Drosophila melanogaster: one gene and its partners. The protein of the gene in region 3 interacts with the protein of the main gene of each other region in a pairwise test. Each region holds a gene or a part of one and is shown on either strand. Other genes may lie near its edges. The genes, in order: CG11379, hlk, CG5382 and Eglp4.

Region 1 (7,562 bases), on a different chromosome or scaffold from region 3:
TCTGCACAAGACCAAGACGACCTTCGGCTGGGGGTTCCAGCCTAAAAGGTGTGTTTGTTTGCTCACTGTCCCCTATTTGGCGCTGTGCAAATAAACAGTCTAGATACGATAACGTCTGGATTTCATTTGTGTTTATTTGGGTTTCGTTAGGTTGGTTTGTTGGGTCTTCTTAGCACGGCGGTGTTTGGGTTGGTGTGAAAACGAAACGAAAGGTGGAAGGCCGCTGAAGAACGACACCAGTGACTCAGATAAAAGGGAGTTATGTAAATTGAATGGGAAGCAAACTGTTTTGCCATATGTGCTATATACTGTCCATTATACTGCTGCTTTTTCCATTATATTAATCGCGGCTCTTGAATTATGGGAAAACCAATTTCTAAAATCACAAGATGGTCGGGTAGGTTGTACTCGTATCGTATTGTGTAACATTTCAAGGTGGAAAGGCTTAGATTGAATTGAGTGGGATATAGACTTGCATAAAATAATCACAGGCTCACTTTACATATATACATATAAGGCTTTATTCCGGAAGAGAAAAAGAGGCTCGAACGTTGCGAGACTTTGGCGGTAGCTGACATCCTATGACCTGGTCCGCAGATACACATGTGGACTATTGACGGAGGCGTCATGGCCTCCGGTCAGTCCCAACGAGGCGGCTGGCAAGTACTCGTTGAGATTAAGCGAGAACGAGGGCGGGAAGTGTTTGTCCTTGGCCTCGCGATTGATCCGATAGGTATTGCGGAAGGCGGCGGCTGGATTGATGGACCCACTGGCGTAACCCTGCAGAGCTGCGTAGTTGGGCGGCAGAGCACTCAAAACAGTGGCCGTTCGTCCTCCGAAGTCTGGCTGTGCGCCGGCGGAGATTGCAGGTTGAGATCCGCTGGCTGCTGCGGCAGCCGAGAGGTACGGCGAAATGGGCACTATGATCGGGCGGGTGGGTATCAGCTGAAGGTACTGAACCGAGTTTCCGGATCCATCCTGGATTGCCTGGGCCGGAAGATACTGCATGAGCATGGGAGTAGACGGTAAACTGGACACACTTGGTGTTCCCGCCGTTTGCATGGGCGTGAAGTTGGTCTCCATCTCGGGCATCTTGTACGAGGGCTTGAATGCCGGATCCGTTTGTGATGGAATCTGGCCCTGAAGCTGATTTTGGACTTGAGCCTGGTTCTGGGCCATGTCATAGCCACTGGCATAGGCACTCAGCGAGTTCAGGTGGGCCTCCTGTTGCTGTTGCTGCTGCTGTTGCACCTGTGGCAGGCCATTCGGGGACTTGGAACCCTTACTAGCTATCTCCGGACTCGAAACGGGGGAACCCTGAAGTAGGGGCATCACCAGGAGCTGCAGCAGGAACAGCTGGCAATGGATGTGAATGTGTCGGTGGCACAGCATCTACACGTAGCGAATAAGAGAAAAGTTAAGGGATCGTGTTCATGAAAAATATTTGCGATAATATATTTTACTTGTTAACCCAAAGGATATTATAAAATAACATTTTGCTGCTTATACCCGAAGCTGATTTTCAGGACGCGAAGTGCATCCGAAATGGAAAAATTGTATCGTAAGCTGCACTTGTAACTGAACTATATCTGCTATAGCAGCTTAGTTAATTCTGCAACACGAAGGTCAGATATTTTGGAACACCTTTCGATTTTATTATAAGCACAGAAAAAAAAAGTATGCGTATTTCACCTCGCTGAATTTTCTCTGCGATTTGAGTTTGAATGCTGCCTGGGAGCGTGGAAAACACTTGCACTTTTCCTGGCGAGCGACGCGCTTTGATTAACACGGCTGCATTGCCAGCCAGGCTTTTATATCGCTCGACGACCCGACCAATTTCCCGCAATTGGCAACAGGCTGCGGCTGCAGTTTTAACCAGTGCGAAACACGACAGCGCGCCAGCAAGCAACAGCATTTGGCTGGCACTGCCTTGGAAGCATTTCAGCGGCATTGTTGCGTGTGCCAGGCTCTTGCATGTCGCTAGTTGCAAGTTGCAAGTTGCTAGTTGCCAGTTGCTATTTGCTAGTTGCCAGTTGCTGTTTGCCGTCGTGGTGTCCATCGCTTTTGGCTACGCTTCAAGTTCAAGTTTACAGCCATCGATCGCGCATCAGAGTAATGGTTTCGTTTTCGCTTTCGATCGACTTGCTTTGCTTTACTTTGAGCCGCTGGGTTCCGTCTTCCGAATCCGAAACCGAAACCGAATCGGTTGTTTGGGGGCGTGTCGCTTTTGGATCTCGGATCGGTCCTCTTCCGCATTGCATATGGGTACGGCTACGGCTAACGAGTTTACAAGTCTTTTTCGGGGGGATGACAGCCCCCAGTGGTTGGCAGTTTGGCCGGTAGTTGTCCGCTTCAAATTGGCTTCATGGATTCGGTCAGAAAGTGGTCTTGCGATTTAATATATGTTCGATTTTTGAGTTTATTTTTTTCTTAAAGAAGCTAAAAGAAACTACGCTTTGAATCGAAATTTACTATTATGGTTATTCATAATTCAATTTATGATGCAGCCCGTTGTGTCCCACTGTGCCTATTAAAACGCTTTTAGTATAATTTGAACCATAAATTTAGCTATTGACTGAGGTAGTGTGATATGGCTGTGGAAGTGGAATGGTCACCCCTCCGTCTCAATTGGCAAAGCTCTGTGCGCTTCCCTGGGATTGGGTCTGCATTGGAGTGCCGGGCTCGAGACTTCCGAAGATCAGCGCGGAGCAGCGGCGATGAAGGGTGCGACGCCAGTCGAGCATCCCGCAGCGGAGCTTCTGGGGCAACGCGGTGGCCCATAGGGAAAGCCACAGAAGACATGCGCCGATCAGGCCGGTAGTCAGGCCCAAAGTCCAGTACTCGCAGACCAGGAAGGTTTGCTCCTCGACGGCCAAGGCCTGGAGTATGCCCACAATGGCGCACTGGCAGAGGGACTCTATGCGATGCCACAGTTTGCTAAGGGTCAGATCCAGCACCAAACAGCAGACGCCTGTCTCCAGTAAGAGCGATGCCCAGGACGACTCATTGCCGCGAAGGTTTCGATTCCCATTCCTGAACCGCTGATCGGCGGGCAGGGCACTTGAAAACATCCTCACCCCGTGAAGAAGGGTCACCACGCAGGCGGAAAAGAGCCAGGCGCCCAAGAGAGGAGCAGCGGAGCCGGGAGATTCGCGAAAGTAGTAGTAGTACGAGATGCCCAGTACCGAGTGAAGCAACACCGCCATGATCAAGGCCATTAGTCGAGCCATCTCCAGATGTCCTCCTAGGTGTACACTTCCAGTTTTACGGGAGTAAATTCGGGTCAGAAAGCCTTAAACTGAATTATTCAACTGACTTTTAAAGCAGCAGTCACTACTTGGTTAACTCCGAACACTTGTGTACAAGTATTCCTTGTTATTTTAAGAAGTGATACAAAAAGCAAGTTGTAAACTCTGTTAAAGTTTTTAAAGGCAATATTTAATATATTCGATGTTATCTTTTCAATTTATAATTTATATATTATGATTTATACAGCATTCTTGCGTGGCAGAATACCCCATCGGTAATGGCATAGGTTTCCTCTTTGTGTAATCACAGTCACTGTCTGCGTCACAGTTGAAGTCACAGACACCGCGCCAATTGCAATTATCACCACAAGTCAAACAGGCTCAGATGTCAAGGCCTTGTTTTCCTCATTTTCAGTGGGCTCATTACGTGAGGCAAGTGGAAATGGGAAATGTGCTCGATAGTAGTCAGCTTACTTTCATTTTTGTTTCGGCCAAAGCTTTGCGGCTCCAACTTTTGGACTTTAAAGCTTGAGCATGATCATGGAGAAACTCATAGATAAGCTCTTCCAGATCTTTATATGTACAATAATATATATGTACGTCTGGTAAACCAAGATGATTTATAAAATGATTAGGCTGGTTGGCATGGAATAAAATTTCTTGCATGCACTTGCTCCGCACTGTTCTCTGCCGACATGACGTCCCAATCCTGGTGATGCTGCTCCGCTTGCTCTGTCAGCAAGTCATAAATCTTCGGCTTCAACTGAACTTGATACATCAAAATGTTGGTCAAATTAAATTTCTTGCGCCTCGTCCTTTCCCGCACAGCTCGCCCCCGCCCCGCCCGCTGCTCCTTGATTCTCCCAGGGATTTCACTAGGAGCAGCTGCCAAGTAATTCGTCAAGCTGCTTTGTCCTCCTCCAGCGGCTGTTCTTATCTCATCTCTGGGTGAGCATTGTTGCTCCGCTCCTCTGTGCTGTGCTGTGCTGTTCTGTACTGTTCATCTGTCTGACTCCACCACCTACCAATCTACCTACCGACCTACCACCCCCATCCCTGTATCCCTGTATCGCCCCGTTTTGGCTGGCTTTCATGTCAACTGCATTTTTCTTTTGCTGTGTTGCTTGTTGTGTGCTGTGCGCTTTTTCACTGCTTTAAACCACTTAATGGGTTTTTTTTATGTGGACCTGGGTTAGATGGAAAAGCGCAAGGAGTGGGAGGCGGCCTGGCGGTGCCTCGGGGCTATTCATGCTGCAGCTTTCTTGTAGCTTCATTCACAAAGACTTGCAATTCATCAAATCTCGTTAGCCTCGGCTTTTATAGAAAATCTGCAGCTGCTTTTGCTTCTGCTTTTCTTTTCGGGGTTTCGGGGGGCTGTGCTCCTCTCATTCATCTGCCACGCCCACGGACACGGAGTGGGCGTGGCCGAAGCTTCAGCACCGATTCGAATCCCCGTCCGCATCCGCTTTACCATTTCCAAACGGCATCCTATCCTCTGGGATCCTCTGTCATTATTGACTGGCAACGACTTTAAGGCAACTTTTGTTCCGCTCCCATGCGCTTAACTTTAAGGGCTTTACCTTCTCCACCTGAGCTGAGCTCCGATCCATGCTTCTTCCTTTGAGCTAATGAAAAGTGTGTGTCTCCCAAAATGGAGTGGAATCCTTGCAGCTGCAGCTTGCATCATCAGGCTCTCCCAGCGAATAGCTCGTCTAAATAAAAGTAAACCAAAGCTCTGCCAAGGAGCAACAATAAACGAGTTGGCCAATGCATTTTTAATGCAACCAACCACCCAACCACCTGTACAAATCCGTTAGGGAGGAATGGGGATGCTCTCGAGGTTCTCTAGGTAGCCTCAAAAATGTTTCCAGAATTGGGGCACATGTTGCCACCACATTGCGATTAAATGACCCTTTTGTGCTTCCTTCACAACAATTTTCTGGGATCAGCACTATGATTCGGCAACACTGAGAGGTGTGGAACATGTGGGTAAATAGAAATTTGTAAATACGAAGAAAATCAGTTATTCAACACTGGTCTGGTGTGGGACCAACACTGTTCGCATAATATATGCATTTGACTCACCTAGCAAACAACGCGCTACCAATACTGTTTTGTCTGTTAGCCAAGTGATGGCAAAGCATTTGCGCCGCACTTTGGCTAAGTGGGAGAAGGCGAGCACTTCGAGCTGGGAAGCAGCTGCTCCTGGGCACCTCCAGCCTGCCACCAACTCAGCCTGCTTCTTCATTTGCTCCCTCTTGGCAAAGAGCCCCATATCACGCACAGGCAAACATTGCAAGGACCCCAAATGCATTCAATTAACAATTTCTCCGGCCCTAGACCTGGCACACAACTTTGCTGGCTGCTGGAACTGGGAACTAAAAAAGTGGGAACAGGAGGCGGTGGTGGCTTTTAATCAAAAACTTGCATTTGCCAAGTGGCAGGGCAACTTTTTGGGCCAAGTTTGTGCGGCGCCAGAAGTGGGTAAACTTCTCCAAATTGTGACGTCGACAAAAGTCAAATCGTGCCGACTCGCAGCACCCTGAAGGCCTCACATGTTCATGACGCTGCACGATTGCAATCAGGGGAATGTGTTTTGGGGTGCGGAATTAAAAGATACCGTATTAGAAGTACCATGATGCAATAATATAAATTAATATATATTTTTTTATATCAACCCGCCCGCTTCCCGCTTCCAACAATATTGTATCTACATATGATCCAGATTATTTCTAATGACCTATGCATATGCGAGTGATTTACGAGTAAATACAGTTGTTGCTTGCATGCGCGTGAATTAGGGCTTCATTTATGAATCATAATGCAATCATTGATTACGATTCGTTACGCGTTGTGGCAGCAACCATTCTGGACGTTGTCAGTCAGCAAGTGAATGCCGTAAATTGCCAGGAGGGGACTATAGACAGACTCTGTGGAAATTCGAAGCATTGCTGAGAAATGAGCGTAACCGAAGCCAAACACCCGCATGGAGCAAATGGAGCTCCACCTTCAGGCCATCCCCACTCGTTTTCCCTTCTGTTTGCCTCGCCCACTCCATTTGAAAAGTACTTTTAAAGGACGAGGACGTGGAGGGGTTGGGATGGAGGATGGAGGATGGCTGGCGGGCTCGTGCCATTTAGCAAAAGTAATTAAGCGTCAATGCGTTTCATTTGTGTTACTTTTCTGGGCAATTACGGCGCAAAGTTTGCAGTTTTGAAGTAGTGCGGCGCAAAATGTTCATTGTTAAAGCCAGACCGACTCACCAGACGACGAAAAAGATTTTATTCCGCCGCGCGAGAATCGATCGCAAAAAGTGGATACTTGGTGTTTGATATTGCGTCAACAGGTGAGCCCAGCGTCCTGGACCGACAGACTGAACTGTCGACTGCTATCAGCGTTTTCTACTCCATCATCATTATGGTAACCGTCATTGGGGCTCGGAAGCAACATTTTACCAACTACCGGGAATCCGTCCACTGGCCACTGCAATGTGCTAAAAGTGTTTCTCATTAAAAAGTTGTTTCACAATTTTATTATCCTGTCGTTACCGAGGTATTTGTAGTCCAGAGTCCGTAGTCATCTCCCTCGACTTCATCCTTGTCCTTGTCCAGGTGCTCGTTGCTTCAATGTGACAAGCTGAGCTCAACCGGGGTGACAATGTCAATAAAGCAAACTTCGCACCCGGCGAAAAGCCCTGCGGACCCCCCTCATAAAATAATTTTTAAATTACTTGTAAAAATAACAGCTAAAGCAGGAGCAAAAAGTTTCAATAAAAGTAGGGTAAACAAAAATTATAGCGAGCGGGAGGAAACAGAACGGAGCAAAACAAAAGCATTTACGATGCTCAAGGGATGGAAACCAGGAATTATCGTTGCATAGTTTGGCGGACACAATTTACACAGAAATTAAGCTTTCACAAGTATTTTTACTCTGCGTAAAAGCGCGAGACTTTGACCGCAAAGATCGTTGGGTTTTACACGGCAAATCCAAATGGCAAAGCGATTAACATTCCAGCTTACAGATCGATGAAAGCAATCCAATCGTTTCGTAAATACAATTATTATGCGACCGGATAGGTCCTACTAAATTTGGCTAATTGATAAAGCCCACCAGCTCGCAGCCATAGATAATTCAACATGAAGGCGGCTATTATCGCAGCCACTCTCGCTTTGATTAGATTGCGATTCCTGCTTTGGGGAAACTATCTTCAGTGCTCAGTACGTAGTCGAGCATAATGTCAACAAGAGGTGGCTTCATTCGGCTCACAATTCTGGTGACGGTGGCCGTCTTGGCGATCTTCGTCCTCCTAAGTGC
Region 2 (8,551 bases), on a different chromosome or scaffold from region 3:
GTCACCTACATGCTGTTCGCATCTATGCATACATACATGCATCTATGCATCTATGCATCTTGCATTAGGATAAGCGTTTTGTTTTTTGTATGCTGTCTGCGTTTGATAAAAATACCTATGGATAGTGTAGCGGATGCTACAGAAATGTTCTTGTGAATTCACACACTTGCCATGTGAGTGTGGCTATAGTTAGTTGTTTCAGAATTAAGCAAAAATAACAGCAGCAGCAAGAACAGCGAAAAATCATTTTGTTGGCCCACCAACTGCTTGAGTTTTCTATTTTTAACACTAAAATTGTAGGTGGCTGTGTCGGAAAGAGACGGATGGCCACGAATACTTTGTTGTTGGCCAACACATCACCGTGTGTGTATGTATGTACGTTGTACATATATATGTACATATGTATGCCACATCTGCAAGTATTGAATTTATGCTTTTTTATAGGTAAATTCCTTCCTTTCTCCAAAATTCACACAAATTCGAATATCGTCTCCGGGGAAAATCTCCCACGCTCGACAATTTCTATATTGTGATCCAACTTCAATAGATCAGTGCGAATCCCCAATTTTCATCCTGCTATCCACCGGCTTGTCCAAATCACAGGGTTAGGGATTGGGTTGTGATTCGTGGTGTGGCGGATGAGAAGTTTTGTGGGGGGGGGGTTATAGAGAAGAAGACGTCGTGCCGACAAAAACATAATCTGGCGCCGAGCCCAGACATTCATCTGCATTGCTTCTGTTGTTGTAATGTTTATTATTATACGTATACGTAATATGTGTGTCTGCCTTGGTCGATAGCGAACGCGAAAATGAGAGATCTTGTTTTTTTAAAAAATTACTAAGAATTACTACTCGTACAGTGGTGATTGTATATATTTAAGGTTGTGTCCTTTACCTAGGCCATCGACGTTAACTGGTCAGCAGGAGAGCTTAAGTAAAGATTGAATAAAATTGGTTTGGCCCACGCTAATTGGTGCATTGTAAACTGGAATCTGAATCCCTAGCGTTCGATTTTAGCAAGCACCAACACACACTGGATTTTTCGGTTATTTGGGTTATGCAGTCAATAAGGAAATACATATTTACATATCGAATTGCGGGCATTGCGGAATAATCTTTTCATTTCAACTTTGGTATTACTGGAATCAGGAAAATTATGGTGGAATAAGGGTAAAACATTGTCAATGAATTAATTTGGGGGAAACAAAGTTTCAAAGTAGGTAATTATAAGGAGAGTGCAAGATAGAAGGTTCCCAGTACTGTTCACGGAAAACTTACCCATAACCCTGGGCGGGCATGTTTCATGATCTGGACCTGCAGTCGTTTGATAGAATAGATATTGGATTGATAAATTGTCCTTTTGCATTTTGGCTCAAAGAGGGTTCGAAACACCGCCGGAAGAGAAATTATTATTATATATAGATAGCTATATTAAATGTTAAGTATGCCGCCACTTAGCTTCGGTTAGTTACAAGTAGTATACGTATTTATAGATAGAGTACAGACATACGCAAAAGATATTGATTTATGGAATAGAATGTACAGAATAGGTAGTTTTGAAAGTAGTTCTAGTACCTAGCTGTATGATTTTTAGTCACAAGAGAGCTAAACTGTTTGTGTTCGCTAAAAACTGCAACTGCTTTGAAAAAGAATATCATCATTTCAAGTGTCCGACACTAGAGTGTTCGGAGTGCTAAACGTTTGAAGAACTATGTATGTGCTACGGTTAAGTCATTCACACTTACAGAACAGAACGGCTACGAAGTCGGTGTCCTCGATGATCTTCTGCAATATCTTGGCATTGACCTCCTCGATGCGATCGGGCAAGTCCATGGCCTCCAAGGAGGTGAGGAAATCGAGCACTCCTTCCTCGTCCATGAGATCCCCATCATATATGATGGGCTCCTTTTCCCTGCGGTTTTCGAGATATGGATTCGATTCGATTAGGTCTTGTGTCTTGTTTGTGGTGGGGGAATTACCTACCTGAAGTAGGTGAGGGCGGGGAAGTTCTTGATGCCATACTGTTTGGCTAGTCGTTTGTCGTTGATTTTCACGAAGTCCACACCGAAGGAGTCGGTGTCATCGTCGATTTTCTCGAGTTCCGCTAAAACCTTATCACAGGTCACGCAGCTTCGCGCATCTGAAATCGTAGAAGCCGAGCGTGTGAGTACTAAAGATCGATTATATGTAGATACCGGCAGCGATTGACAGTCGGCAACTGCTGCATGTGACGCCACAAGAGACCATAACTAAATTCCCATTCGAATTGAAAGCCCAAAGCCCAAAGCCCTGGCAGAAGTGGAGCCAAATGCCGCAAAGATTATTCATTCCTATATAGTAGATGCAGGATGCATCATCGGACCGCGCAATCGAAAATAAGCCTGAATGAATGAATGAAATGACAGCAGCGCCAGGCCAATTCTGTGCTATTAATGCGGCAGCAACTGCCAACAAATATGCTGAAATTCTAAATTAATTCATAAAATTCATGCGGCCACTATTAGGGAAATGAATTGCAGCCCACAAAAGACCACCGTTGGCCCACGTCTCTACAAACGTTCTGGTTGGTTAAACGGCAGACCAGACTGCAAAATCGGAATCATTAATACATCGCCGAGTAAACAGCCATTTCGATTGTTTGGCAATCCGTTCAAAACAATCTTTCACTGCTTGGAAAGTAATCGCGAGTTGGCCGAATACCCCCCCCCCCTGCCTACTCCATACTCCTAATGCTGTTATTTACGGGCTCCAACACTAAGGTGTTTCCTGTGTACACCAGGTGCTTTGGAAAATCCACTGCAGGATGTTTGATTTAAAATCATCAGAGTGCTATCGCATGCAGTGCAATAACATAAATAGCGTTCACTTGAAATAATAAACACATTTAGCTTATCGATAGAATTCGTTTACATATTGAACTATCTGCGATTTAATTGCCAAAACTATTCAATGCTCTGCCATTTGCGTAGATATTCCATGATTATTTCGATTGTCGGCCAGCGTCATTGGGCCTGAGGCTTTTGGACTTAAAATATTTTCATTGTCAACAATTATTTTTGGAATTGCCGCCAATGCTAATGAAACACATCGTGAGGTATATGTACATATACATATAAAGGAGAATATTACAATCCGAAGATCACTTTCGTGTTTATTAACTTTGACATTGGGGAACAGCGCGCAAATGCCCAATCTATATTTAAACTGATTAAAGAGATTTAATAAATAAGCCATTCTTTCACGCGAACGGTAACCATTTTTTTTTTTTTTTTTTTTTTGGTTACCCAAAAACAGGTCACCAATGGGACCCACTGGACAAGGGGATTGAAAATAAATTTAAAAGGGCAGGAAATCTGTTGGCAACTGCTGGAAGGAAATTAAATTCTGCTTCATAGGTATGTAGGTATATTTTGTGCCAAAAGTTTGCGCCAAAATAGACTAAAAAACCGAAAATATAAAAAGCTGCAAAGACGATTTCTCACAGCCAAGAGAGATTTCTCTACTCATAAACAGATCGCAAAGATAGCGCAGAAATGAAAAAAATATAGAAAAGGGAAGGCAGCACAGACTACTGGCAACTCGGGGAGGAAATGAAGAAATAGAAAAAAAATAAAAAATTAACCGAATGAAAATCGCGGACATTTCGAGCAACGAATTTTTCACATATTTTCATTTGTATGTGAATTTTTAGAATTTTCACTAGCGAAAATTTATATAATATGGCTTCTGTTACTATTTCGAGTCCGGTACGGTCCGGTCTGACGATAAATGAGCGGTGCCCGGACGACCCCGAGAGCACTGGCATAACCACCCTCCCACTTACACCAGAAAACGGCCACGTAATCCTTGTCGGCCAGGAGCTTCTCCAGCTGCTTGGCATTGACCTCCTCGATGACGGCCTCCGGCTCCGGAGGCGCCACTGGCTGCGAGCCCTTCTTGTTGTTGTTGTTGCCTGCACCACTCACATGTCCGGGAAAACTCAGGGCCAGCAGAGCACACACGAGCAGCGAGAGAGTCTTGAGGCGGGTGAAAGTCATCCTGCGATCGGTTACGGTTCTGATGTGCTTTAGGCCCTTAACGCGAACATGCGTGCGCGTGTCTGCTCGTTTTGGTGTGTTCTACAGTTTATAGTGTTATAATTGTATAATTGATTCGTTCTCGTCGTTTGGGGTCTTTCGTTATTAAAATTTGTATTCCTTTGAGAATCGGTCACTATTTTTAGTTGATAATGGTGTTTCTTCTTTCGCAATTTATTTTATGTATAACAACTTTTTGTTCACTGATACATATATACGGGGTTCGTATATGCACAGGCGAGATATATGTGGGGTATATACGAGAATAATTAGATTATATATGTGGTTTCTTGCTTCTATTAATTGAACGTTTTCCGCGGACTGTACTCTTTGCTCTTCAGATTTTGTTCCACTCCGTGCAGAGGTCCGCTCGCAACTGAAATTATTTTGGTGGAATCTCGGTGCCATTCAAGAGGCCTTGCCCGAGCTTTAGGGATCGGGATCGTGGACTTCGTGCTTTGGCGCAGCTTTTCCGCTCCCCCGAAAAGCTTTCGCGTCGAGCACAGGAGCGCCAATCGAGTGAGCAGTGTGGTGAAATCAGGCAAAGAGCAAGAGTTTCCCTTTTGAATTGCAGTTCTCTGTTTATGCATTCGGTGCAAACAAGAAAGTGACTACGAATAGTCCTATAAAAACAAACTCGGAGAATCGCTTTCATTATGCGCTACAACAATTCACAGTACTTTGTATTCCCCATTTTCCCTTTGGTAAACACTTTTAACAATGTGTTTCGAGCTAACATTTTGTCAACGTTATGCTTAGTCTAAAATAGAAAGGATTAAACTTCCCTTTGCTAAGAGACATAACGTGACATTGTTGAATCTTTAAGTTTTATAGTTCCAAAAATCTATGCGTTTATAGAGATAGGAGGACATGAACAGATCGAATCGGTTAATGATCCTCAATAAGAATAAATGTAAATTCTAGGGACGGAAACGTTTCCTTCCAGCAGTCAACTATTATGTAAAAATCAACAAATATACCAAATTTTGAATAGGATCTAGAGAATGATTTAAAGTTACTGTTAAATAAGCCTTCTCGAAAACTGTTGGTCATCGAAAACATGGAAGATGAGACCGGATTTACAAGTGGTTTTCTGTCCTTAATAGCTTTATTTGTATTGATTAATGTAAGAATTCTCAAATTCTAAAGATTGGCATCAAAACCTGATCCAACTAATAATGAATCCTTTTCAACTGGTTATCAACTATGACCTTTGTTAACGTCAAACCACCCTCGCGAATTATTTGGAGTTCGTTTCTGCAACACACACAAAAATGAAAGTCTCGGTATCTTGGTACCTGTATTAATGTTATGGAGGTTTATTCAATATTTTACAATAAAGCTAGGCAAGTGATAAATCAGAAATGTTTTAATCAATTCGGATATGTTCAAAAAATCTAGTGATGCAGTTGCACTTTTTCTCGGAGACTCCCTTGTTTATAATTTGCAGGACAAATAAACAAAAATAATACAGCCTATTTTGGGCTTTCAAACAAACAACATGGCCGCCATTTGGATTTGAATAGCTATCGATAGGTGCCGTCGGCCAGCTGACAATCCATCCACTGCCTATCGATAATATCTAGCTGAGCAAGATGTACGGATTTGTGAGCACACACTTTAGTTTTTCGTTAGGAACGGGACGTTCGTTCTGTTGCGCACCAAATTTTTTCGGACCCAATGCAAATGCAAACGCTTTTGCGGCGTGTGTAGTGCATTCAAAATTACCAGATACCCAACGGGATCCAAAGTTCCCAGAGCAGTGGCACCGGAATCGATGCGACCAGCAGTCAGCGGAAGCGTAAGAAATTCGCGCCTAGGTGGACAAAAATCGATCTGTGACGCGGTTTAAACCAAGGTAACTCCGCTATCCATGAATAAAATCAGCTCTTCCCACGGGTGCTTCCGCCATGGGGCCACAGTGCGGGTCCTGTGGCCAATTCACCTTGAACCCAGTATTGCAGAAGGGGCCGCATACCAAGTCCAATTCCCTGCGCTTGTGTGTATACCTGCGCCTCTTCCGCATGTGTGTGCATAAACATTGACGCCCACCCGCCCGATAAACAGCTGTTAGACCGATTGCCGTCCGCTTCCCCAGATTTCCAAGGCGGTCGAGGCGGAAAAGGGGAAGGCCCCTTATGAGCGTAGGCTTGACGGGGGCGGGCCCGTGTTTGTGGCAAGGCGAAGGTGAAAGTCATCAGCTGATATGGGCCAGCCTGCTAAACCCGTTATGCAGAGCAGCTGTTCGACGCCAACTTCATATGTGGGACAAAATCCCAGCCGCGAACTCACATACTGGGTTCCCCAGTTATATCCGGATAGCGGGCACCTCGCTATCGCAGGCCGATATAAATTAGAGGCTTTCGCGCTGCAGATGTGAGGCCTAATTGAAGATTTCTTTGTTCGTTCGCAGGCTGCACGACACTTCGAGGACTTTTATGTGATTATTACTATGAAATTGGATGAAATAGTTGCATGGTAAGCGAACAATGCTTCATTACTCTCTCCCTCTCCGGACTATCAAATTATCCGCTGTTGAATTTTTGTAGGTACCAGAAGAGAATCGGCACCTATGACAAGCAAGAATGGGAAAAGACCGTCGAACAGAGGATATTGGACGGCTTCAATAGTGTCAATTTAAAAAACACCAAGCTGAAGACGGAGCTAATCGATGTGGACTTGGTGCGAGGTGTGTTTAACCTGACTGACCCCAAATAGTGCCCATAATTGAAACACATTTTTTAGGTTCCACGTTCCCTAAGGCCAAGCCCAAGCAGTCGTTACTCACTGTGATACGCCTGGCCATTCTGCGCTATGTCCTGCTGCCCCTCTATGCCCAGTGGTGGGTCAAGCAGACCACGCCAAACGCCTTCGGCTTCATCCTTGTGCTTTACCTCACACAGTTAACCAACTGGGCTATCTACGTGCTTCACAGCAGTCGCATAGTGCCCCTTGACTATGAGAAGCCGCCAAATGGAACCCTGCTTCAGGCAGAGGCAGATGGAGATGCCTCCGATAAGGATGCAGATAAGGAGTCCGAGGAACATGCCGCCCTCCTCAGTGCCCTGCTTATTCCGTGCGCCCTAAGCTTGCTGATCAGTCTCATCCACTCACAAATTGTAGCCACTAACACCGCCTCGGGTGTCTCTGGCGGGAGTAGCAAGAACAAGCTGCGTCGCATATCTGCAAGCTACTTAAGCGACAAAGCAGCAACCAGGGAGAACCGGGTGCGACGTCGCAAGAAGATTGTGCGGTAAGAACGAAGCTCTTTTCGGAACCAAATATTGAATTCTTTTTTTAGAGTTCGACAAGTGGAGGCTGACTTGTCCCAGGCCAGCAGTAACATATCACTTCCAAACAGAAGAACCGCAACCAGCACAATCGAAGTTCTTCCCAGACCGGTCACGCCTTTGCCTTCACCAACAGTTACCTGTGCCACGGTGCCAGACCCCACCACGCCGACTACGCCTTCGCCATCTGTTATCAGGCGGAGCACCAACGAGGAGACCTATTTGACAACGACTGCAATCAGCCCACTAACGCAACCGCTGGCAGCCATAGACGCATGCTACGATCTCAGCAGAAAGGCAGGGGGAGCTGCTCCCGAAAGCCCCAAAAAGCGCAACGTCAACTGGCACACGCCTATTCAGATATACGCTACCTACGAGCTGGGCGAAGAGCCGTGCTCCAGCAGAAAAGTCGCAGAAGAAAGTGCGCCTGAGTCGGTTGGAGAAAGATTGTGTTCCGTCAAGCCAGACTACCAGACGCGTCGAAACATCGGGGAGGACGATGGCTTCGAGAGTCTGAATGGAAAGAGCTCAAGTGGAGAGGACAACAACCATTCGCCTTTGCCAAACGCGGTGGCTGTTGCGGCTCCACCAGCTCCTGTTCAGACCAATCAGTTGCGTCTGCGATTAAACACAACAAACGGTGTGACCGCCAGTGCTTCTCCAACCGAGAAGAAACCCCAGTCGCGCGGCAATGAATCCTCAACGAGTTGCGCCGAATCGGATGAGTGCGATGATGCCGACATTATGTCCAGTCCCGCCTCGGGCTGTAACCAAGAGTGCACCACTTCTGCCACCGACTGGCTGGGGGTGACGACAAATAGCGAAGACTGCAGTTACACCTCTGATCTGGATCACTCTGACGGGGGCTTGAAGCACACGGCCTTTAGCGACGAAGATCCTGGAGAGCTGGACATCACCCCTACCACTATACTAAATCCACATAGCAGCCTCGACCGTAGTATGTATTACCAACCAAATTTGCATCTTCGTTCACGCTATAACATTGAACTTATAAAGTTAGCTGCACCATTTGGGATCAGCGAGATGCCAAAAAGGCGCAGCTTTCCGTGCTGGAGATCGCGTCTTGCATAATCGAACGCGTGGACTCAATGGGCGAGGCCAACGACTACATCTACATAGGCGTGGTCTTCTCTTTCCTGCTCACATTGATTCCCATCTTCTGCCG
Region 3 (7,734 bases):
GATGACGCAAAGTCAACAAGGGAGGTTAAACATTTCCTATACTTAACCGACCTGCACTGGCTCTCAAAAACACTGGCTGAACTGCGTCGTCAGGATCACTGCCAAGTCTTTCTGCATCAGCTAATTGAGTCCTGTGATCTGCTCCTGCCCGAAAACGAAATGAAGCCGCGCAATCCTGAGCTAGAAGCGCGCTGCCAACGTCTTCGCGCAGAGCAACAAAATCGGGATTACCTCAAAATGACCAAGAATGTGGATGCCGGCTTAAAACACTATCCAGAGGACACTATCAGCTATCAGAGTAAGTGAATACGCCCAGCTTGTTAGATCCGCCCTTTTAAAACCTTTTTCTTCTTCCCTTCCCTTTCAGTTAAGAGCCTTAACAAGCAAATCATTGCCGTGGTGCAGTTCATCTTCTCCGTGGCCGCTGGCTTTACGTTCGGCTTTTTCGGCGTCAATTTGATGGTGGGCCCGCTGCCTTTCGGCTTTCGCATCTTGCTGGGCGTGATTGTAGCGCTCATCATAGCCCTGGCTGAGATGTACTTCCTGGCCAAGAAGCTGCACGAGTACGATGAGGTCTTGGACGCGCCCAAACGTAAGCCGCAGCCATCGACGCCGGCTAAGCGCACCCCGCCCGCCGAGGGAAGTCAAGTCCAGACATTGAAACCCCATGTTGACTAGATAGATGATCTGCGAGTAAAAATCGTTCTTTGTCGTTGTATTATTTCGCTTTGCAATGTTAGGTTATATAAATAGCTGTAAAAGTTTTATTCTTTCGGAATCGGGGACTTGGATATCGATTATATGCTACGTATGCTTATTTCGACCGTGAATGCACACCCTATTCGTAGTGGTTCGGCTGTGGATTGGGGTTATTCCAGCCCTCGTCCACGGCATCAGATCCTCCGCGACCCAGCCAGGCCATAAGATAGACGAACAAGACAAAGGCCAAAATGCCGGCGGTCACCAGGAACCAAGTGCGACGCCACGGCGGCCGCGAGGAGGGCGCATAGAAGCGGCGTGTCCATCGCGAGAACAATTCCGCAGGAGTGCGGCGCTGGTACTTATTATCGTCTCGATCTGTCCCACCAATTGGCGACTGACGGGGCAGCAGCGGTCTTCTGCTGCTGGCTGCAGGTGCGTAAGATTATAATTATAATATGACTCAAAGTGTATGCTAGATTATGCGCACCGTAGTCGCCCGCACTTGGGGGATTAAATGCATCCATTAGGAGCACGGAATGTGGGCTCACGGCGTCATGGCCATTGGGCTTCGTGCGCTCTCGCTCGCCACCGGAATGGATGTGGTGCACTTTGGTCATGTTGCTGACAGCCGCCTGGCTTGCCACCTTGGGCTTAATGGCCTTCAGACTGCTGCTCTGCTCCTCAGAGAGCTGGGAAAGATTCAACATTTAAATTGATTACAAGCTTACTGCCCGGAATGCTTACCAGGGCGAGTCCCAGGCCATTTCTGCCCCAGTTAACCTGCGACAGGAAACTCTTCAGAGCATCGGCCACCGGGGAGACCAGGTTGGCGTTGGGAAAGATCTCCACACTGCAGGCGGGGCACTGGTGACCCCGAGGGGCTGTGTTGGCAGGCAGTGCGGCTTGGCGGGCGTTCAGGCAGTCCCAGTGGAAAACATCTGGAAATGGCAGGATTATGGGTAAGTGTGTGGTGTCTGGATTAGCTCAAAACTGGCAGATCCCTACGGTAGCAGACGAGGCGCACGCAATCGCCCTGCTCCAATGTGGTGCCGCACAGAGTGCAGTTGGAGATGTAGTCGCTGTCCCGCAGCCACTGCAGATACGACTGCACAATGCACTGAAAAAGAGTGGATATGGTGTATTCCAAGCATCCATAAAACTAGAGGACAGGAATCCTTACCTTTGGATGAGACTGAACCATACAGTGTTCGCAAACATTGACTCGATGCTCAAAGCAAAACTGGTTGGTCACCAGGCGCTTGGGGCACTTGCACAAACCCATTTCCTTAAATTCGGGGTTCCTAAGGCGGCGGAGGAATTGCACTTGGCGGCCTTGGGACAGCTATCGCATAATAACGCCTCAATAAAATTAAATTTTATTTCGTTTCGCAGCTTTTGTCGGAATTTTCGAGTTTTCATTCACATATTCAACAGCCACGTATCTGTTCATGCGTTCCGGGCGATTGGCAACCAGCTGACATATTCTGCGAATATCGTAGCGATGAATGATGAAATACGATATGTGTTTGCGATTTAAAAAATCGGTTTCAAATTTTCCTTTTTTTTATGGTAACCATAACATTTAAGAGTTAATAATGTTTGTGCTACAAAAAGCTTAATAAACAATAAGTTCAATTTGTAATACTTAATATAAAATAAAATCCAGAGTTTTCGAGCTAATCCCTAATCCAACCAATCTCGCATATATTCACAAGTTATAGCAGTTACATCGCCACAATTGGAGCAGTTTTTGATGACGGGACAAATGCCACATGGCATCTGGACCAGACCAGTCGGAGGAAGTGGGGCGTTCACCGCCCGGTAGACGAAGGATCCATCCTGCTGGCGCACTCGCTCCGCATTGCCGTCGTACACCACTGTTTTGAGAATTGTTTCCAGATCGGCCTCCGCCAGATTAACCTTGCTGATGCCCAAGTCCGAGATGAACTTCTGAACCTCGTTCACCGTGCAGCAAGACATCTGCTTGAAGGCCAGTGGCCCCTCGCGCTTCTTTTCCGCACTGTCGCGTTTCATTTGCAGAAAGCGCAGGCACTGCTGGTTGAGCACATCCACAAACTCCACCTCAAAGTCCTGATCCTGGTACCAGGCTCCTCCCGTAATGGAGAGATCCGGCTCTAGGTTGTACAGCATGTACACTTTCTTTTTGCTGGCCTGCGCGAAGAAAATTTGGAATCACATTGAACTTGGAATATGGGATCATAGAACCTACGTTCACCGACTTGACCGCCTTGATGAGCTTCTTGGTTTCTAGGTTCTTGAGGATCTTGTTGAGCTGTATCATGTTCAGGTTGGACTTCATACGTATATCCCTAATCCAGATGCCTTTGTTGCCGCCCTCCTCAACAATGCCGTAGACGACCTTCTCCTCATTGTCCGCATCCTTGGGCAGGGCACTCTTCTTTTCCGGGTCCTTGGCACGGTACACCAGCTTTTCACCCTTCTTCAGGATCTCGATCCCGCCCTCCTGCAGCAGTATATTCAAAGCTTCCACCCGCGTGGCCGCCGGCACATCGGGCAGCGCCTTGGTCAGGTCATCGTTGGTGGCACCGGCTGGGATGCCCTGGACCACCGCCAGCAAAAGTTGCGACACCTCAGTGGCCATTTTTCTATTCTCGAAAATTTGTTATTTAAAATTCAATTAAATCGAGAAAAACAACACGCTTACCGTGAAAAGCAAAACAAAAACAAACGGTTCCGGGCGAATGGCTACCGCTGCTAAGAAGAAGCTAAAAAATAACAAAAATCACAAACCAATTTTAAAAATATAAGTTTGTTCTATTAAAAATAATACTTTACGCAACTGAATAAATGAGGATAAATAAGGAGCATATGTTTTAGGCTTTATTACAAATTGCTTTAAATAAAATTTAAAGCTTTCCGAAGACCCCAAATGTTATATCGTGAATCTGGTATGTATATACCAAATGGTATTTATTTTAAAAACGAGTGGCTTTTTTAGGCTCATTGGTGCCAACTGTTTTTTCGAACAGATCGCCGGACGCACTGTTTCTGATTGGAGTGTTCGCTGCCTGTGCATTTAAATTGAATTAAAATAATTCCAAAACAGGAAGAGCAAATACATCTTTCCGCGAGTTCACCTTTACTGTCAAAAACAGGTAATTATCAGATCTTCTTGATACGACCTCAAGCTAAACATCATTCCATTATAATACGCTAGAAATTTTGCTAACGAAATTGGCGGGGGCAAGACATTTGTTTTTGCTGTTGTTGATGATGCAAGCAATTTCTCCACATTATGTAGAATTGCGTTTGCCGCCTCACAAAACACATACACACAAGCACGGCTGCGAATTCAATTCGCACACCCATACAATCTCAAAAGAACCTCGTTAGCGAAATGTGTAAAGGTGAAATAGAAGTCATTCCATGCGGAGCGCGCCACAAGTAAAATAACCTACACCATCGCAATCACACCCTATTAAACATGCCATCGGAAATAATGCAGCAATAATAATCTTGAACCGCTGTAAACTTCCACTATCGCAATTGTTTAATTGCTCTGTGACGACGACGCTTTCAGCGATGATGAGTAATTTTGCATAAATTTGCTCTGTGCCGGATTGTCTGAATTATATTTGAAATTTTGTTGCTGTTTCGGCGTCTCAGTGATAAGCATTTGTTGTTGCAGACCCGAGCTTCAAAATGTTAACGGCGCTAACGTCCTTTATCCACAAGTTCAAGGTTAAATAGTACGGCACATAGTACTCATTACATATTGACTGAAGCCTGGAAAAGCACTTTCACTTTCAGAACTTTTCTCGTGCGTTTTCCGGCGACAAAAGCTGCAGGCCGGCGAGCTTTACTTGCACGGTTTCTGCGCGTGTCACTCACGATGAGCGAAAGAGAGAGCGGAAGATAAAAGGAAAGTAGATGCTCACGCACTTGCATAATGGCAGTGCGAGCGAGACGAAGCTGTTTTCTGTGGAGGAGATTAGGTTGTCAAGGTCAGCACAGTGGAATTCTAGGTGGAAGTGGGACAGTTGGACAGTGGGCTCTTTTCCGCGTTGCTTTTTTTCTGTATTGCCAGCTGATAAGCGCCGTCTAACAGCTGATGATCGGTTTTTTGTTTACCACGCACACACATACTGACATCACGTGTCCATATAATCATATATACACATACTTCTGTACAATGCAAATTTATATGCAAAAATTAATAATCGTAATGGATCGTTGAACCTTCTGTTCTATCCGATTGCCGGCCAGCCTAGCAACGGAGCTTTGCGCCAGTTAACTTCGGAGCTTCCTTTTTGGATAAACTTTTCGCATCCCCTTACGCGAAGGGAGTTAGGGTATGTTGGCACAATAGCATATCTTGATCCTGCTAAACACTTTACTTATACTTAAATATCGAATGATAATTTGAGCCTCTATCTTTTCCATTTGATAATATCTTTATTAATTTTTATATGCAGTATTGTAAGATTAAGGTTATATTTCACTCGGAATTATATTGGGAATAGCGGTAAGGCCACTTGGTCGACTGAGCAGCTGGCAGTCCCTGGTCGAGCATACCCTTGAATATACCCTTCTTGCTCGCTCACCAATGTTGTCTCTTTAGGGGTGGCCTGTTGCGTCCGCCTCTTGCCTCTTGGGCCCAAACTCTCTCTCCTCTGCGTTTATGCTCTCTTTGCTGTCGGGCTACCGACATTCTGAGCGCTTTTTCTGCGGCTAGGAAAATTTCCGCTTGCCAAAAAATCTGTGTGGCAGTCGAACTTTTTGTCTCGTCCTCGCCGCGTCCGATTTTCCATATATCCCGATTTTCGTCTCAAACTTGGAAGATATATTGCCAAAATATTGCATTCGGCTAGCCGCTGCGTTGTGTGTGTTGTTGTGCGTGGAGTTGCGTGTGCAGTTGCAAGAAGATATAGTCGTCTATATCGTCAGACCGATCTCGATCCCAAGTGCGATTCCCGTTGGTTACATACTACCCGTTCGGTAGGCAACAAAATGGTGAACGTAACCATCTACGATGAGGCACCGCAGCTGAAGGTAGGCCAATGTCACGGTAATGGAAGCCCCCAGAGTTGGTCCATAAAGATATTCATAATCGCCATAATCAGTTGGCTGGCGAGTTGGCCCGATATCAGAGTCATTGGGGAGGAAAATGTGGGAAAAGACAATTATGCAACTGCAGCTGAGAAAATTCTGTCGGTCGCGGTCGGCAGAACTGACCTTCGGCGGTGCAGATGTGCAGCGCTGCCGGTGTCGGCTTCGCTGCACACTTTTCTTCCGCCTGCTGCTTTCTCTCTGCCACTCTCTCTTCCGCTCTGCCTTTCTCAGGTCCTCTCTACGGGGGACACCCCTAACCACCCACGCCCATCCACTCAAGCACTTCAAGTACACGCACTTTGTTTACATCAGCGAATTCTGCAGCGACAGCTTTGCGTTTTTCAAAACATAACATGCACAGTGCGAATAAATATTTTGATAATTTAAGCAATCGTAAGAGTTAACAAATAGTATTTAACGCAACAGCATCATTTAATATTGGTAATCGATTATAACATTTTATATGTCAAGTTTTATCAATGGCTTATTTACACATGCTACTAAGTACCATCAGAATGATAAAATACTGTTAATATATAACGTTATCATTTTAATTAGGATTATTAGATTATTTAAAATCATTACCTTTATATGTAAATAGCTCTATTTTATCTGTCAGTTCACAAATATTTCAATCATTCCTTTTGGTCATGAAAAATGATTGGTGCGGCGAGCATTTGGGCTTAAATCGCCGTATTTGGCCCGTTTGGTTCTATTTATAAGCCGGTGGTAAACATTTAATTTGGTCGATAAAAACTGTATCGATTTATATTCGTTGATATGAAGAAGGGTTATCATGAGTTTTGCACGCATTCGCCACGTTTATGTTGGGGTCCTAAATGTGTTTCGCATTGCATGACTTCACCAGGGCATGATTTTAATATCATAAAACTAGTTGGTTTTTTTATTTTTTGCTAGAACTTGGTAGTTTTTAAAACGCGTAGGGTTTCTTGTTGCTAGGAAGAGACTTCTGATTATTAGCGTAAATTGGAAATAAATGCTTAAAATCAATAAACACGACTTTAACCTGTTTTATTGCAAAAGTTGGCAATCAGCGTGTTGATTTCTAAAAATAAAGAATCAATTCGCGCTGTTTATAAATATGAAGAGAAATGAAAACAAACAGAATTAAGTATAGTTTTCATTTTGCAGCCCAACGAAGTACCCCAAAACATGGCCGCAGGAGCTGATACCCAACTGGAGCACATGTGCCGTCTGCAGTTCGACTCGCCAGTGCCCCATGTGCGTCTGTCCGGAATCGTGTGCACCATCGGACCTGCCTCCAGCAGCGTGGAGATGCTGGAGAAGATGATGGCCACCGGCATGAACATCGCGCGCATGAACTTCTCTCACGGATCGCACGAGTACCATGCCGCCACCGTGGCCAATGTGCGCCAGGCGGTGAAGAACTACTCGGCCAAGCTGGGCTACGAACACCCCGTGGCCATTGCCCTGGACACCAAGGGGCCCGAGATCCGTACCGGTCTGATCGGAGGCAGCGGCACCGCCGAGATTGAGCTGAAGAAGGGCGAGAAGATCAAGCTGACCACCAACAAGGAATTCCTGGAGAAGGGCTCTCTGGAGATTGTGTACGTGGACTACGAGAACATTGTCAATGTGGTGAAGCCCGGCAACCGGGTGTTCGTCGATGACGGTCTGATCTCACTGATTGTCCGCGAGGTAGGCAAGGATTCCCTCACCTGCGAGGTGGAGAACGGCGGCTCTCTGGGTTCCCGCAAGGGTGTGAACCTGCCAGGCGTGCCCGTCGATCTGCCTGCCGTCTCCGAGAAGGATAAGAGCGATCTGCTGTTCGGTGTGGAGCAGGAAGTGGACATGATCTTTGCTTCGTTCATCCGCAACGCCGCTGCTTTGACCGAGATCCGTAAGGTTCTTGGCGAGAAGGGCAAGAACATCAAGATCATTTCCAAGATCGAGAAC
Region 4 (7,692 bases), on a different chromosome or scaffold from region 3:
CGGCTGCCTTGAAGGTCGCAGCGTCTGATAAAGTTGTTAGCAGAAATATCTCATAAAAGGGGTAAAAAGAGAAATACAAATTCTTGTTTATTTACAGATTATTTTACTTAAGTTTTGACATTAGAGGTCAGACTTTGAAAAGCGATTTCAATTGCTCCTTTTAAACAATGTTTAATAAAACAGATGATCTCATTAGTACGATGAGTTTAATAATGACCAAACTGTTCAAGTAATTAGTGACTAACTAAACGAAGTCTCGATTTTATATAAGTTGGCACATGCCTTCGATTAAGATCTTTTGGAGGGGGGAACTCACGAGTTTGTGCTAATCAAATTTGATAAATCAATCGAGTTGCGAATCGCGTGCACCATCGCCAGATCCAGATTGTTGGCTCTATTAAACGAATCGATCGAGATTTGGCCCAGTTGTAAAGTCACATCATATGATTGAGAAACCGGTCGGACACGGAACAGTTGGCCCGACTCAAATTGGGCCAGTTCAAGTGTCTGTTATGGCAGTTCCTGTATGGTAATTGTGCCTGACTTGGCCAAAACCCGGTGATTCTTCACAGTTGGTTGATGTCATTCAATCCCACGCCACCATTGTATTTGTGCTTGACAAACCGCAGCCACTCGGAACTGCGATTAACTTGGTTGCTTTGCCACTTGATAAGGTGCTCTGCCGTGGGGTTAGCAGGTTATCAACGGCGGTGTCCCAGCCGCCATTGAGCAGAGTGTAGTTCCAATTCAAGACTTTAGGACGGGGCCGTTGCATAATGCATGAGCTTCAGCCAAATTCCAGAGTCACTCCATCCTTATCGCCATTATCAAATGGACTGCATATACATACGTATTGCCAGCAAAAATAAAAAATATCACGATTAGAGGCCACATCGAACCATAAATTAACTGCTGACCAGCCTTCGTGGAAGAGCAAAAGGAATTCGTAGCCTAGGTCACTGCCGAGTGCTATCAGAGCAACAGAAATAAGAGTTATTTGCCAGTAATTAGCAAATTGTCTGTCTAGTCATTACAATGCCTTTCACAAATCATAGTCTGAGCAATCGCCTTTCGAGTGGCCCAACCTCGTGGCCAGCTGATAAGACGAAGCCCCACAGTTTTAGCCACGAAATCAGAGACCTTCTCGGCTGCTAGAGCACCTGACATTTTCGAGCCGTGTGCGTGGATCTTGCCGTATTGTTGACCACGTCTTAATTGCCCCCCGTATTTACAGCCGTAAATAAAAGGGGGCAGCACTGCGAGGTGGCGATGCCAACAACCTGTTGCGCAACCCAAAACGTCAGCAGTTTCCATTGCCCTGATAAGCCGCACAGATAAGAAGCAGAACCTTGGGGCTAGGAAGAGGCTGCCATGGATCTTGGTCAATGGGCACTAAGGCTTCCGCCTGTGGCACCATAATGAGCTTCAATTACGATCCAGCTGGCAATTGGAATGCCATAAAGGGGTATACGTTGTTGTTGTTGCACATCAATAAGTCGGCAACCGATCACTATCGCACTTTGGAAGAGCCGTAAATGCGGGGCGATGTCAAAAGTCTGACGAGTAAATCCGATTTGAGTTGGCCCAATTATGGCCAAATTAAGCCTGTGATATTGCGCCGCCAGACACCGCCAATCCCAATACACCATCACCACTCACTCAGCTCGATATCGGTTATCAGTGCGAGTGACAGTGGTTGCGGCGTATGGTTTATGGCCAACATTTTAGGGCCACTAGCAAAAATCACTTCTTAAGCAGCTACAGCCACAGCTATCAGCAAACAGCGGGTGAGGCTTATCGGCACGGATTGATTAGCTGTTCTTCAGGCTAACAAGTTTTTTACGACGAGCTTCTGGCCGAAGGCTTATCACTCTATTACCAACTTAGTCATAATTAGCTAATAATAATGCCGCGTGATAAGGAAGCTCATCGAAAAGCTCGCCGAAAGCTAACGATCGAAGCTTCGTTAAAGTTGCGCATCCTAGCAGCTGAGCTTTTGAGAAGCTCCGAGGAGTCGCCCGTTCTTATCGCACCGCTCTGTTAATTAACAGTCCCCACTTCCGTTAACATCAGCGATTAGCACTCCCCAAAATATGAACGTAGAAACGCCCAGTCACGTCCCATCACTTAGACAAACGCTGAGAATGGATCATAATAATTAAGATCCATCATCCCAAACGGGGTTTGTTGTCAATTAGGCCCTCGGGCCATTGAAAATCGTGGCCCATGCAGCGATCCCATGGATGATACGTGATCCTTCTGGGCATGGAAAATATGATAAAGGTGCAGGTGGTAATTAAATTATTATTATTATTATTGTGCTGCCGATCGGATGGTGTGTTTGATTTATTTTTAAACTTTCGATCCATCGCGTGTTTACTGCTTTGCCTTTAATCTCTTTGTCTCTTGCCAAAACGTGTCGCTCTCTTTTGACCAACCAACTGTCAATGAGTTGGCCAAACACAAACATTTGCCGTTGGCCAAGGGCCAAAACGCAAATGAACCAGCAGTGCTATTTTCTCCACCGTTTTCTGTGGCAATGCCAATGTGTGTTATGGCGAGAAAGCAATGGAAAACATTAGGCGTGGTCAGTGAGGGTCAAAAGTTCTGATCACCTGAGCCACTGTGTGTACTGGGTGTGTGTGCAACAGCAGGGCTTTTGAAAATATTTGCTTTAAATTGTTATTATTTATTGACGATCCAATTGTTATTGAGACACATAACTACGCAAATTGCGTGCAATTTGATCGACAGGCGTGCCGAGATTTGCCGTGATTTGTTTGCCACATTGCGTGGTAGCCCGATTCACGCAACGCATCCTCAATTGCAGCAATTGCAATTGATAGGAATCGAAGCGACGGTGGTAATTGATAGTGTGCCACTCTGCTGTTATCAATACGCAATATGCCGCCTGCTTCAATTGCGAGCGCGTCACGCACTTGCACAGCATAACAGTGTTATGCCCACCGCCCACCGACCAACTACACTGAAAATAATTATGGGGATTTTCGCTATCAATTACAGTTTAGTGCTAAGTTTGAATGACACGCAATGAAAATGTCGTATTTTAGGAACTATGGTTACTACTAATTCTAGCAATCATTGCTTAGCAGATTTGCCTTTCTCATGGCAAACAAATAGTAAGAAACAAGTTAAATGAAAATGATAATTTACTTAAAAAACAAATGTAAGGACCACCTTTAATATTATAATTCTCATAAAATGCTGTGAATAAGTCGAATGAATTCGATAGAGCAAAACCAGTATGTCAGTTGCACACCAAGTGTTAATATCTAACCTTGTTTCCATGGAATATCATCCGTATTGTTTCTACCATTTTATAATGATTTAAGCCAGGTGACTGGTAAAGGAAGAGTGGGAGCGAGAAGGAGCATCGCTCCAGAGATAATCGCAAAAGCGAACGAGAGCAGCGAATGAGCGTTTAAGATGCTCATAAATTCTGGACACTTGACTTTTTTATGCTCACCAGTAGGATTCGCTAATTTCCACGCCTTTGTGTGTGTGTGTGTGTGTGTGTGCTTGTGGTCGGTCCCCTTCATATGTGTGTGTGTGTATCTGTGTGTGTTGCTGCTCTCTCACAGGGGCTAAAAATGGGCTTTTGATTTACGCAATATTATATAGACACAGATATAAATATTTGCCTATGGCTACTCCACCGCCTCAGATTGACATTGACAGTCGCGCTGCCGCTTTGTGAATTTTCACCAGCTACGGAAAAGATTGATTATATAGTGCGATCTCAAAGAATTGGACAAGTGTCAAAATGAGCCACGAGATTCGGTAATTATCTGGCACTCGAAACCAAAGAAATTCAAAAAACAAAAAACAAGAGTTCTGGCTACCAGAAAGAGGGATTTACCAATCACAATAAACGGATTAATTCGCAACGTAGTGAACTCCAATTGACTCGAGTGGCGCTCAGGCGATAAGGTTGAAAAAGATTGGTTATTGTTTTATGGCCATGTCGTGATTTGATTCGCATTTTTTCGGCCATTTATCTATAAACCCAATTGACAGCCGAACGGCAATCACAAGTCTACTATATTTAGTACACGGCTACTTCATGTCAGTCCAGCCATCGATGGCATTCCCGCAGCAGGCATCGTTTGTCGGATCAGCAGCATAAGTTGTGCTTCCAAAAAAGGGTGTTTGGAAAATCGATGCCAAGTCAATGAACCTCGAGCAGCAGGGGATGGATCCGCAAGGGGTGGAAAACCAGCAGGAAATCGTCCAGGCAGCCGAAGGAGAACAGCAGTTGCAAAGGTCTAGAAGCTTGACAAACTAACTACAAAGTTGCACAATAGTTGAGATTGTAGAAGTGTGTCGCGGGGATTAGGTGCAAATCGAGGAGGGCTTTGCGAAACGATAGGATGGTCTTAGATAGGATATGATTGATGAAGTTCCTAAGCAGGTCTACTTAGAGTCGAGAAAGAGATGGACGATGGCGTGCGACAGAGAGGGTAGCTCGCTTTTTAGTGTGGCATTATTCAAGCGCTTCTCTGACCATTTCAGTTGCTGTAAGGTCTTCAAAATGAAGGGATCGACGCTGGACAAAATCTCCGCCTTCCTCGGCGAGCTCATCGGCACCGGCATCCTGGTCTTCCTGGGCTGCATGGGTTGCGTGAAGACGGACCTCTTTCCCAACAACCATCTGCAGATTGTGCTGAACTTCGGCTTCGCCGTCCTCATCGCCATCCAGTGCTTTGGCTGCGTCTCCGGTGCCCATCTGAATCCCGCCGTGACCGTGGCCGCCTACATCTACGAGATGGTCACCCTGCGCATGGCATTTGCCTACTTCGCCGCCCAGATGCTGGGCGCCTTCATCGGCTACGGCCTGCTCATGGTCCTGCTTCCCTCGCCCACACTTACGGTGGGCGCTGGGCTCTGCGTGACCTTGCCCCACACCAGCGTAACCACGGGCCAGGCCCTCGGCATCGAGTTCGTAATCACCTCCATCCTGGTCATCGTCTGCTGCGGAGTGTGGGATCCGCGCAACTCCAAGTTCCATGACTCCGTGGGCATTCGATTTGGCCTGGCCATCGCCTGTCTCGCCTGCGCTGCCGTAAGTTAAAGCGAACAGTTGGCTAATCCTTACCTGCCTCGAAACGGATTATTAACCTCGTTCCCTACCATTGGTTTTAGGGTCCCTTCACCGGCGGCAGCATGAACCCGGCCAGGTCGTTCGCCCCCGCCCTGTGGAACAAGCACTTCGAGAGCAACTGGATCTACTGGCTGGCCCCGCTGAGCTCCTCCGCCATCACCGCCTACGCCTACAAGGTCGTCTTCCGCCGCGAGGTGGTTGAGGCGGAGATCACCTCCAATGAGAAGCTGCGGCAACTGGAGGACGTCCAGCTGTCGTAAGGCCAAAGACATTGCTGTAGGAAAAGCCCTAACTAATTTAGTTAATATCTAAGATGCCGAATTTTAAAATAATGCATTCGTTGTACGCTAATGTTAGCAGTGTCTTCACAAAGTGGCTCGAACGTTTCAAAAGGCGAACCAAGTGCACACACTTACATAAGCCCTTGAAACGATAAACGTCTTGGTGAAAACACTAATTGCCTTCAGAAATAAAGAACATCGAGATTTTTAATCTAAAACCAAAACAAAACAAGTAAATTATTTTTATGGTTTTAAGAAATTCTACACAAGATATTGGTAGTTATTTGATACCTGAAGTTCTGCTCTTCTGGGCCATCTTAAAACATGTTGAGTCCATATTATCTAAAAGCTTTTCATTCTTCAATAACGAGGTATTTGCTTTGATTAGCTCTAAGTAACTTCCGGGCTTAAAAATACCAATAAGCTTTTTCCAGGAATCGAAAGTGAAAAAAGCCCATCAGCTTAAGCGGTCTTTGGAAAATCTGTTCATAAGATATTCGAATATCTTAGTACCTCCAAATCGACCAATCAAATGGTGGCTAAAAAACGTTATCAGCAGGCTGCGAATGAGACGCGCGTATCAGCCAAATAAAGCCAAAATATACCAACAATATGCAGTTATTGTACGTTACGTACTCCATTCGGGTCTATAGTCCGTATACGAAGCACAAATGATATATGTGGTTCTATGTGGTTTAAAGGGGACTATGTGCTATGGGTGATATGCTAATGCTGGATTTGCATCACTCTTCTGGAATTTCTGGAAATCACGGGGTGATTCCTTCGAGTAGCTTTCGAACACCATAGGCCAGGTTTATTGGCCTTGTTGTAGCGATTCAGACACTGGCTGGCACACAAGAAGTACGAGTATTGGCCAGGTCTCGGCGACCCCGTTCGCCGTTCGATAAAGATCTTAATGAGATAAGATTGAGCACAAATCGGGCGAAATGGCAGTGGCGCTTATCAGGCCGATAATTACGGCTGAGCAAAGCCCCCCGAAAATCGCCTTGATGGATTGATCCATCCTGAATGGGTGGGCGGGAGCTGCTCCCAAATCTGCGCTCGATAATTAGCATTAAGGTTTTATAATGGATTTTGATTGATTGCCGTAAATTTTGCTGGCACGTTGGGTCACTTGGGCAGCCGCCCAAAATTGCGGCAGTAGAGTTCCGTCAGCATGTCGCAACAGAAGCAAAAATCGCAGGAGTCCAATCCGAACGCCAGGTGGCGCCTGGAAGGACACCAAAGGAGTGCGATAGCCTGCTTCTTCGGTGAACTGGCGGCGACTGCCGTCTTCGTTTTCATAGCCTGCATGGGCTGTGTGGAAACGCCGCTGTTCCAGAATTCGCACTTTCGCAGTGGCCTCACCTTCGGCCTGGCCATTCTCATCGCCATCCAGTGCTTCGGCTCCGTTTCCGGTGCCCACTTAAATCCGGCCATCACCCTGGCTGCCTGGCTCTACGGCGCAATCGGTTGGATCCGGGCCATTGCTTACTTTGTGGCCCAGGCTGCCGGAGCCCTGATAGGCTATGGTCTCCTGGTGGCTGTTCTGCCTGGGAACTCCATCAAGGGTGTGGACAACCCGTCGGGTGTTTGTGTGACAATTCTGGCCCCCGGAATCAGCGTACTTCAGGGGGTCTTCATCGAGTTCCTCATTACCTGCTGCCTGGTCATGGTGGCCTGTTCGGTGTGGGATCCACGGAACGCCAAGCTGCAGGATTCGGTGCCCGTGAGATTCGGTCTCACCGTCTCCTGTCTGATCCTCACAGCGGTTGGTATTTCGGTGCGTTTCAAAGTTGCGAAGTGTTACTTAATGGGAAGTCTGTTGCTTTTAGGGTCTCTTCACGGGAGCCAGCATGAATCCGACCAGATCACTGGGTCCAGCTGTTTGGAACGACTCCTGGGCACACCACTGGATCTACTGGGTGGGTCCTTTGGTGGCAGGAGCTGTGACCTCGCTGATCTATCGCATGGCCTTTAAGGGCGACGAGGAGATCGATCTGAGGACTTCCGATGCCAAGATACGAATGATCGGAGAGGTTATAGTGCAATAGGTGTGAATTGAATCTTATCGAATAAACTATATATATATACGAATATGTTGTAATAATAGAGCCACAAAATATTTAGGTCGATTAAGTAATTAAGCACCACCTTGTATTATTTCCATAGCATACAATTGGGATGAGCGGCGATATTGGCCATTTTTTTGGGGGCTCGTATTCGCTGGAAAGTTTGTCGAGTTTGTCATATATATCAATAGGTCCATAGGTCTTTGAAAATCATTAT

The links.
Region 1: the proteins of CG5382 (region 3) and CG11379 interact in a two-hybrid assay, tested with the Drosophila melanogaster proteins (one large-scale study listed by BioGRID).
Region 2: the proteins of CG5382 (region 3) and hlk interact in a two-hybrid assay, tested with the Drosophila melanogaster proteins (one large-scale study listed by BioGRID).
Region 4: the proteins of CG5382 (region 3) and Eglp4 interact in a two-hybrid assay, tested with the Drosophila melanogaster proteins (one large-scale study listed by BioGRID).

The regions. Positions count from the first base shown.
Region 1 is NC_004354.4:1,175,932-1,183,493, reverse strand, and holds CG11379 (uncharacterized protein), read right to left. Parts: upstream 3,330-7,562; 5' UTR 3,231-3,329; coding exon 2,625-3,230; 3' UTR 1,943-2,624; downstream 1-1,942. Other genes in the region: CG14627 (uncharacterized protein), read right to left, coding at 580-1,392; CG11384 (uncharacterized protein), read left to right, coding at 7,483-7,562.
Region 2 is NT_033778.4:6,736,217-6,744,767, forward strand, and holds the start of hlk (hulk), read right to left. Parts: upstream 4,457-8,551; 5' UTR 4,037-4,456; coding exon 3,823-4,036; intron 2,140-3,822; coding exon 1,983-2,139; intron 1,912-1,982; coding exon 1,745-1,911; intron 1,314-1,744; coding exon 1,278-1,313; intron 1-1,277. Other genes in the region: phtf, read left to right, coding at 6,528-6,553, 6,625-6,764, 6,821-7,328, 7,377-8,323, 8,383-8,551.
Region 3 is NT_033777.3:22,363,830-22,371,563, forward strand, and holds CG5382 (uncharacterized protein), read right to left. Parts: upstream 2,155-7,734; 5' UTR 1,985-2,154; coding exon 1,883-1,984; intron 1,820-1,882; coding exon 1,708-1,819; intron 1,641-1,707; coding exon 1,447-1,640; intron 1,392-1,446; coding exon 1,190-1,391; intron 1,129-1,189; coding exon 839-1,128; 3' UTR 744-838; downstream 1-743. Other genes in the region: CG7071 (uncharacterized protein), read left to right, coding at 1-298, 368-678; Polr3F (RNA polymerase III subunit F), read right to left, coding at 2,386-2,874, 2,933-3,325; PyK (pyruvate kinase), read left to right, coding at 5,695-5,736, 6,949-7,734.
Region 4 is NT_033778.4:23,605,523-23,613,214, reverse strand, and holds Eglp4 (entomoglyceroporin 4), read left to right. Parts: upstream 1-4,284; 5' UTR 4,285-4,408; coding exon 4,409-5,083; intron 5,084-5,163; coding exon 5,164-5,382; 3' UTR 5,383-5,623; downstream 5,624-7,692. Other genes in the region: Eglp3 (entomoglyceroporin 3), read left to right, coding at 6,581-7,174, 7,239-7,457.